Drosophila melanogaster: one gene and its partner. The gene in region 2 interacts genetically with the main gene of each other region. Each region holds a gene or a part of one and is shown on either strand. Other genes may lie near its edges.

Region 1 (4,251 bases), on a different chromosome or scaffold from region 2:
TGCTGCCAAACGACGCACACAGATGCAAATGCTCAGCGACAACAAGCAAATGCAGTCTATTTCGTCCTTTAAAAGGCACTGGAAAGTCTCGAACTTCACTGTTTGGGTAACATGAAATCTTTAGCTAAACGATTGTCTCAACTTTAATTGCAAATTAATGGGAAACAAATTAAAAACACGAAACGAAAAACAAAACAGAAAACAAAATAACGCGACGCTCAACACGACTGCTTCGCAGGCAGTTATCGACTGATGCTTATCGGTCGATATTCACCACACCTAGTATGACCACAGGGGCGATACCCTTTGCTTGGCGCCATTATCGATTTCCGATCGTTATTTTCAAATTCGAAATATAAACAGCAAACCTTTAATAATGCTTCAATCAGAAAACATATAAATCAGGAAAAAATAAATCGTATTTTAAAATTATCAGTTTATTTATTAAATTCTAAAGTATATACCCGCGATGGAAGTTGGTGGTAGGCATTACATAAAATGAGCATCGCACCTCCGCTTGATATCACTAACCTTTTGTAGTTACCCTAAACAACGAACTCGAGGAAAAGATTTCGGAAGCATTTTGCATATTTGATACTCATGGCGATAAGTATATTGATTCCCGCAATGTCGGCAACGTGCTCCGATTTTTAGGTTGCGCGCCCACCGAAAAAGAGGTCGAAGATGTCATTAAAGCCACCGATTCCGTCGACTATCCAGGCGAAGCCCATTTGGTGAAGTTCATGGAACACGTTTCCAAACTGCTGATGGATCGACAGTTATTCAATATACTTTAGGTTTGTTTAGCAACTAACGATATTTGTCCACAGAATGGAACCAGCCTCGTCGGAAAAGCTTCTCGAGGCCTTTGAGACCCTGGATCCAGAAAATAAAAAATATCTGACCAAGGAGTACTTCGGCAAATTAATGGCGGAGGAAGGAGAACCTTTCTCCGCTGAAGAATTGGATGCTATGTGGCCTGTGGCAATTGATCCCATTACTGGACACATTCCCTACACCTTCTACATAAATCAACTCAGGGTAAGATCGCATTTCCCAACTACTTTTGATTGGATTCATCTAAAATTTCCAGCACAAGCCTGATATCTATGAAATTGCCGAGGTTATCAAGGAGGAACTAGCACAAGCCGAAAAAGAAAAGGGCAAGAAACCACAACAACCACTGTTTTAGATGCCCCTTTAATCAAGCAATTGCAAATAACGCGGAAAATAAATTTATACATTTTATAACAAATAATTTCCTTTCTCGTTTTTACTGTTCCACATTGAGATATAGACGGTCACACTGCCATGCGCAATTCGAGATGGCATAGTCGTTGTTCTATGTTTGGATATTAAAATGAATTGTGTGAAAAATTTAAGGAACTATTTTTTGTTTTAAGATATTGCCTGAAATGTTACAATATATTTATTAAATCCAATAAAAAAAAATTTACAATACATTTAAGCGCTTTTACAAATCATCGTTGCTCTAAATTAACTGAATTTGTAATCGATAGCCCGATACGTGCTGCTCCATCCCTCATTACCCCAACTCTTCTAGAAAAACACGTCAGCTTTTCACAGCCATTCGGAAAAGAACACGTCAGCAGAAAGGAAAACTGGTCGGTCGATATTGCAAAGGTGGATGAGAAAATTGCGTGAGACGGAGCCAGAAAAGCCCGAGTCGGCGGCGATGAAGAGATTCAAACCAGCAGAGCGTCCGAGAAGCGCAGTCGAAGTTCATGAGACGACCTAAAACAAGCAAAAGTTAAAATACGCTCTTACAATGCAAATCTAAGTGGAAAGTCGCTTTTCACAATTGCACACAGCACACAGCAGTTTATCATTTAGCCCCGAACCAGTTAAACATGGCACCCACAGCAAACACAGTGCTAATTACCGTGCCGCGGACAGCAATCACATCGAATAATCTGCCCAAATTGCGGCCCGCCCCCCTTACGGCAGCTCTGCTGAAGGTGTCGGCCACGCCCTCCGCCTCGCCCACGCCCTCGAGTTCGGGATACGCATCCTCGTCGAACATGGATGACGATAACATGGCTGCATCCCAGCCCAAGGCCAAGAAGCGTCGCCTGGACCATCTAACCTGGGAGGAGAAAGTGCAAAGAAAGTAAGTCCACCCAACTTTTAACCAAATTTGAGCGCCTTATTTAACTGTTATTATCGAACAACAGGAAGCTAAAGAACCGTGTGGCCGCCCAGACATCGCGTGACCGCAAGAAGGCACGCATGGAGGAGATGGACTACGAGATCAAGGAGCTGACAGACAGAACGGAAATACTACAGAACAAGTGCGATAGCCTGCAGGCCATCAACGAGTCACTGCTGGCCAAGAACCACAAGCTGGACTCGGAGCTGGAGCTGCTGCGCCAAGAACTCGCCGAACTGAAGCAGCAACAGCAGCACAACACCAGATGCATCAGCCAATCCAACGCCAGCGCAGGCGCTGAGGGCTGTGCGTCCACCAACCTTGGATCTGCAGCATCCAAAGCTGACCCTCTGCCGCAGGGTATACAACAGGTGGACACACAGTCGTCAGCGCGTCTGCTGGCGGAGCAGCTGAAGAGCAGCAAGAGCCTGGCCTCACTCTGGAAAGTTGTGGCCCTCTGCCTACTCTACAAGACATGCTTGGCGTCGACGAAGAGTTCGACGTCAAGCGCCTCGAAGAGCTGGCCGAAAGTCTGCTCGCAGATATCACAGCAGACCTGGAAACAGGCGCTGGAGCGAGCAGCCCAGCTGCTGCCCAAGATGCAGGCAACGCAGAGCGATTGCCTGGACCAATGGTGGGGCCCGCAGCAGAGCGCTTGGAATCCGACGGGCATAGAGCTAATGGCCTGAATGTTGAGCAGGAACAGGAAACCGAGCACAAGGTCAGCCTAAATGTGCAGATGTTGAAGATAAATGGAAACCCACAGCATACCACAGCAGCGCCAGCCTCGAGAACAGCCACAATCACAGCGACAGCGGCCGCCTCGCAACTACAGGCCACTCCGGACACAGTGTACGGCACGTATGATGCCAAGACGAACTCGATCACCATCGTGATGGACGGGGATGCGGTGCCGGTGAACGAGGCCGTCGAGGAGATCTACTGTGACGGCGTCAGCGCTGGCGACGACTCAACGGACGTGATCATGAAGTGTCCGCCGCCAGCGACGTCTCCGTCACAGGTCTATCTCAACGTGATGAACGCCGTCGACAATTCGGACGACGAGGAAAGCTTCGATCCGATCGACCGATTCCTACGTCCGCGCGTTAAGGCGATCTCCCCGTTGGCCAAATCCCCCGCATTGTCTCTACACTCGGCCACCTCGGACCATGGATACGAGTCCATACTGGGCTCTCCCACATCCGTGGCTCTCACTCTGCCCGCAGATGAGGACGATTTCCCCTGGGAGAGCAACTTTGACGAGCTGTTTCCCAGTTTGATCTGAGTTTTTCAAGCTGAAAACTTCGTTCTGTCTCTCTTTTATTGTTAAGTTTGGCCGGCCGCCGTTTGTTTAAGTTTTTTAGTTGATAGGCTGTACATAAATTCATAATCGAAGGCTTTATATATGATACTGTAGTTAGAGCGCTAAGTTTAGCTGTAGGTTTCCATTTATATTTAACAATCTCTAACCACATAGGCTTATGATTACTCTTATATGTATGTATTGTGCTCAAAGAATTTGAAAAAAAAACATTTGACTAAAAAATATTCAAAATATAAACCAAACCAAACAACAAGCTCTTTGTTTTTGTTTACTCTAGGCGAAACAGAACTTTGAACTGCGTATGATAAATAGTTAATCACGCCACTTCTCTAGCATCACGCCACTTTTTTATGACGCAATTTCTGCGTAGATGATGGGACAGTTTTAGGTGTAAGCATATGAGTCATTTTGTTTTTATTAACCAAATATATATATATTACAAAAAGTGAGTTGAACTGACTGCAGATAATGCGGATAGGTGAAATAAAACCACAACTATGCTCTGAAATATATGCACCTTATTTATTAGTATATTATTCATTAATAAGACGAAATACAGCTCTGTTTTTCTCCAAACTGAACTAGGATTTAAACAAGATTTTGCTAAGCTCGAAAAATATATTTTTTAAAGAATATAAATAGAGCCACCCTAATGCGCCAGCAAAAGCGAATTTGTTTCGGAACTAGTTCGAAAAAGTTGTTTATAGACTTGAACCAGTTTTTGCTTACGAACCACATACCTGTGATTTTGCAGAAA
Region 2 (5,577 bases):
CCACCATAGCCTTGGCGTCGTTCATGGCACCTGCCAGGACCTTTTGCATCGCCTCAGTTGGCTGCTGTCCGTTACGGCGAAGGAGCGGATCCTTGTTGATAGTGAAACCACCAGACGGGATGCACTTATCCGCCCAGACATCCTTAAGCTTGAGCTCTTCCCTCTGTTCCTCGTTGAGGCCAATCATTTCAGGCGGCACCATGGTGCCATGTTCGGCCAGCTCCTCAATCTCCATGCAGACACGCTGAATCTTCAGTTGACCATTGTGCAGAGCCACAAGCTCGCGAAGCACAGTATCAGTCTTCTCCTTAACGCTTGTCTCATAGAGGAAGATAAGCTCGTCTCCGCGTTTCACCTGAAGAAGCACCATTTCGCACAGAAAATATAGTCACAAGAGCAATCAAGTGTCGATCGACTGGATAGCAATTTGCTAATGTCACAAAAGCCGACAGCTGGAATGGCAAACAACTCGGTTGCTAGGACCCGTATCGATGGAGACGTTAGAGAGGGTGTTTCAAAACAGACAGAAGTTTATTTTAGCGCCTTGTGTCGTAAGGTCTTGGTATTGCACAATGCGTTTACTTGCTCATTAAGTTCCGCTCACAAACTCCTCCAGATACAATAAATACTATGCTAACTTACAATAAACACCTGCATCCTGCATGGGTTATTTTTTTGTCATTTGGTTTTTTTTAGGGTGATACGGTGCGCTAAAGTACAAGTAGCCTAGGGTAATAGTTTGTATGTACAGGGAAGCAGCTATCCTGGGGTTACTAGCCTCTGGCCTCAAAAATGTTACGAACTATGGGAGGGAAACCGCATTCAGTAGGAAGTCCAAGACGCAGCCCCAGCGATGTGCGTATGAATTAACTAGCTGCTCATGTGAGGCGAATGAGATCCGGCTCGTCGCTCGGTTAGTCCAGTCTGGATGGGTTACCTCAGCACGCACCGGAAATTCTCCATCTCGTATATACTGTTGGATAGTCTGCAAGCAAGTGTATAGATGTAAGTATTTTAGAAATGCCATTTTATCATTTAAAACGCACCTGCCAAACGCATTAAATAGAGCTACAATCTCTGTTCGCGACAGCCTGAAGATGGGATCCGCTTCGATGTGCGGCTTGTCCCACAACCCGCTTTCCGTGGCCAGATTGAGCTTCTCTGAGTAGAGAATCTTTAAAGCAGTACCCAATCCCTGCGTCTGCAGCTTCCCCCACAGTTTGCACTTGTCGCAGCCTACGCAGCTCATGATGCGGGATATGTTTCGGAACTTTTCCTTATAGTCGTGCTTGAACTTAATAGAAGCGATTCCATTACTGAAGAGGGCGTTCTCGTCGAAGTGGGATTGAAAATTTCTACAAAAAGAAGCTAAATTGAAACATTGTAAGAAAAAAGAATATTCCTATACTCACTCTATGACACTCAACATATCATTGATGGCTAGTTTAACCTCATCATCCTCCTCTGCGATGCCCGTGTAGTAATCTTCTCGCCGCAGATAAGGAGCAGCCTTAGCCAAGGCGCGCAGTTCTATCAGATAGATGAAGTAGAGGTTTCGCAGCCAGTGCGGACCTTCACCGCTTGTGGTTTCTGGACTAAAGCGTCGTTTAAACTCCTTTACGTTGGGACCCCAGATGCCCTGCGGATCTAAGAAGTCCTTTGACTCTGACAGCAGGTATTTGGAGCACAGATGAATGTTGATACTAGAGTGCAGGCCAGAAATAATGCGATAAAAGGCACGCTGCTCCAAGCACACATTTCGCAAATCCAAATGAGGCACGTAGTTAGAGAACTTGTTAGCCGTCTCGTTGTTGCCACCGAAGCAGTTCTCCAGATAGATGCTCTTCCAGATGCGATGTGCCGATTCGCCCTTATAGCCGGTGTACCGCTCAGGATTTAGGAGCAGATCCACATACTGGGATCCCTCCTCATGATCGTCCACGATGCAAAAGTCCTCTTCCGCCTCATCATGCTTCGCCCACAGTTCGAATTCCCGATGCGCCTGATCACTTATGCTCGTGTCCAGGAAACCCAGAGAGCTGTCGAAATCCTCTCCATCCGAGCACGCTGAGCCCCCAACTTGCGCCTCGCGCGTGTACTGTAAATACAAGATGCAGATGAGGAAGTCAGTAAGGTGAAGTGAGCCAGTTGTGCAAACAAATAAGCTTAAGTTTTAAGTCAGTCATTATTTCATTGATGGTTAAGTAATCTTTGAAGAAACAGATAAAGCTTTTCACAAATATATCAATACATTCTTGAACGGCATTATCGGTATAAATAATTATCTATACGTTAATAAAGTATCTGGTAGATAATATGGTTTTGTTTTTTTTTTGCTATGTACGAGTATCAATTGTTTTTTGTTTGTGAAGATAAGAACCTCTGCTGTTAAATACATACGTATATTGAACTGCATTGTTTCTTTTTTTTTTTTTTTTTTTGAGTTATCTTTAAAAACAATAATTGATTTTCATTCTCATTTTGGGGTATAGAATTTTTGTTTATAATATTTTACTGTATGGTATAGTCTGCTAAGGAGTGATCAATATTTTAGATAAGTTAATAAGTTAATCGACAATTAAAAAGGGGCGGGCAAACGCTTGATGAGATGTGAAGACCACGTCAGCATTGCAAAACAAAATCAAAGGCCACATCATTAACAGTGTAGGCTCAGTTGAAGATTATCGATGCGGTTCATTCTTGTGGAGCCGCAGACATTCGAATAAAAATAAATCACCTGCAAGCCCATTGAGTGATTGGGTAGATAGTGGTGATTTTGGCAAAAGATTGAATAAGATAAGAGGCGTAGTGTAGACGATAGCGATGGAAATACCCGGAATCTTACTTTAAACGCGGCCTTCTCCTTGTGCTCTCCCTTGTCCTTGATGCCCTGGGGAATCGCTTGCTCCTCGCAGTTCTCCACCTGGCAGAAGCGCATCGCACAGCGACTGTCATCCGGCCAGAAGGGGCACTCCTGCCGCAGGTTCACCTTGTAGAAGCGGAAGAAGTTCTTCACCAGCAGACTCTGCAATCGCGGATAGATTTTCATGTTGTTAAAGTGATCCACCGTGTCCACATCGCAGCTGCAGTCGTTTATAGATCCCTCCAACTGCGAAGAATATAAATATCATACAGTCGAGGTGGCAATAGTAGGTATACAAAAATTTGATCTCAAGTTAGCTGAGTACTATACATATACTAGGTCAAATATTATTAGTGAAGCAAGTGTAATTAATTAATTATCACAAATAAATAATTGAGTATTCTGTACGTTCTGCACTGCAATTAAAGCAAAACTAATATAAGCACGAATTCTTTTTTACTAATCTCCAGTATTTCAACTACATACTTTTCAGTTTAAAATACAATTTTAAAAGCCTTTTTTTAAGATCTAAGTAGAGATCGTTAAAGGATAAGCAAATGATGATGAAATCAACTTCTTAATATTTTTGAAAAACATATTTTTAAATGGCTTAAATCATCAATTAATTTTACCGTTACTGTGTACAATAATCCGAATATTAACCCACCTCGCAGAAGCAGTTTTTGCTAGTCTCCGTCTCATCGATGGCTGCAAAATAGCCTCCAGTGGTGTCCGTCCAGAGCAGGAGCAGAACTAGGACCACCGCAGCGGAGGCCCACAGATTTCTCTGCACCGTGCGTGTTGTCATTGTGTTTTGATGTGAGTGTTGCTATTGTTATGACTGTTGCTGTCACTGTTTTTGTTGTTGCGTGCTCAGTTGTTTTGCGCTTCGCCGACGGAGTGCATCTGAATCCGATTTCCCCACCCGTGTGATTTCGCACCTGCGATTCCGAATCCCAATTTCACGAGTTTAGCGAGCATTTGCGTTTCGAAGCAGCAACATTGTTCATTTACTTTCGATTCATGATTTTGGACACGTACCTGGCGTTTGTGTGACCGCACGCGCTAAGCGCCGAAACGTACTAAAAAATACCACACTTGACGAGCGAAGTGCGGTCACTCAGCACAGCAGGTGCTTTTCAAATGGCCAATATTTCCCATTAATATAAATAATTTTATTTCAGTAATTTTTTTCGATTCGCAAATGAAGTATTCGAATATTTCTAAAAATTTTATATTTCTTTTCTAAAAGTTTTGGTTAAATGTTAAATAAGTAATCAAAATGTAATTGACCGTAAATATATAAAAAAAAGATTTTAAAAATAATCTGTTAAAAATTTGCCCATCAGATATTTGTTATATTGAATTTACGATATGTTGAAATTTCGCGCCATTTTTTTGAAGCAGAGGCAACCCTCTTCCCAGGGATGAAACATTTTAAGGGAAGAGGTTGCCAGATCGCGTTATGGAGAACAGAAATAAAACCGCTCGATTTGAATTAGCAGAATGAGAATATTTAATAACAAAAAATTGAGAGTGAGCTTGATTTAAAATTAAATAATGTAAAATTTTTCAAGATCAGATATAAAAATGATGAAATCGAGGTAAACCACTTTATTCAACAATTTATTTAACAAAGTATAAAAAAATAACTTTTTGATGAAAACCAGTTCATTTCTGATAGTTAAAAAATTCGGTTAACGATATTTAATTAAAATATGAAATATGAGCGTAATAACTTTCCAAATGACTTCTAGCGATAAAATTCAAGATAACATTCAATCGTCAATCAATTGATTGGTAAATGTGAATATCGTTATGGATTTCCTCGTCTCCAATATTGATGCAGTTAATTAATTACCTCAAATATTGATTTCGGCTATTCTTCGGCAATGAATGCGTCTTTTGTTCCCATGACAAACCCTTGCCCCGACGATAGCACCCCTCAAAGGAGCTCGCGACCCTCGATATGCAAATTGAGAAAACTCGGTCAGATCTTGGATCGAATCCTTTCGAGCCCAAGACCATCATCGTTCATCACGCCGGGGGGTGAATTGCTTAGGATGCTGGGCACGACGATGCAGGCACCTCGATTATTCGAACATAAATCGCCTTAGGTCGTTTGGAAAGTAGATACCAACCGCAACAGGATGGGGTCTATCATTTTAATTTAGTTACATCTTAGAATGTAACAAAGAAGCTACTTAATTTTAAAAAAAAATCAAATTAGTTACAATACCTAACTAACTTAACTAATTTATCAATTTTAAGCATGTAGATTATTTAAAACATTACATTAAAATTATTATACGTTAATGTGAACACCAAAACTCTCACGTTTCTTTTTCTTTATTCCGGTTTTATTCGAAATAAAACTATTTTTTTGCTCCCAAAAAAAAAAACTTCTTTTGTGTCCCACCTGAGCATCCTATTTCCATCAGAACCCATCAAAAGTTCTCACGGAAAAGTGAAATTACAACAACGGGATGACTTAAGCAAAAAAAAAAAAAAGATGAACCTCGAAAAAAACGGGGAAAAATCTTCGAAAAAAATGTACCGAACGAAAGGGTTTAATCATTTTTTTTTCCAAATAGGACGATTAATGCAGAAAAAACGCAGACGCAAACATGTGTGGCCAAAGGACAGGGCGGCGACCCTCGGCATTGTTCGAATTGAAAAGGAATCATCGCGGACTCGGGCGAGCGATTTGCATA

The links. Genes that interact genetically often act in the same process or in processes that back each other up.
Region 1: of Ero1L (region 2) and Xbp1, changing one suppresses a phenotype caused by changing the other (phenotypic suppression), as found in Drosophila melanogaster (one study listed by BioGRID).

The regions. Positions count from the first base shown.
Region 1 is NT_033778.4:21,142,006-21,146,256, forward strand, and holds Xbp1 (X box binding protein-1), read left to right. Parts: upstream 1-1,543; 5' UTR 1,544-1,871; coding exon 1,872-2,131; intron 2,132-2,195; coding exon 2,196-2,859; coding exon of another isoform or gene 2,860-3,455; 3' UTR 3,456-3,745; downstream 3,746-4,251. Other genes in the region: CG9406 (uncharacterized protein), read left to right, coding at 470-482, 541-778, 831-1,041, 1,094-1,192.
Region 2 is NT_037436.4:4,168,746-4,174,322, reverse strand, and holds Ero1L (endoplasmic reticulum oxidoreductin-1-like), read right to left. Parts: upstream 3,920-5,577; 5' UTR 3,672-3,919; coding exon 3,531-3,671; intron 3,110-3,530; coding exon 2,846-3,109; intron 2,099-2,845; coding exon 1,413-2,098; intron 1,356-1,412; coding exon 1,047-1,355; intron 986-1,046; coding exon 934-985; 3' UTR 534-933; downstream 1-533. Other genes in the region: CG18675 (uncharacterized protein), read right to left, coding at 1-370. UniProt on the Drosophila melanogaster protein: Oxidoreductase involved in disulfide bond formation in the endoplasmic reticulum. Efficiently reoxidizes pdi-1, the enzyme catalyzing protein disulfide formation, in order to allow pdi-1 to sustain additional rounds of disulfide formation.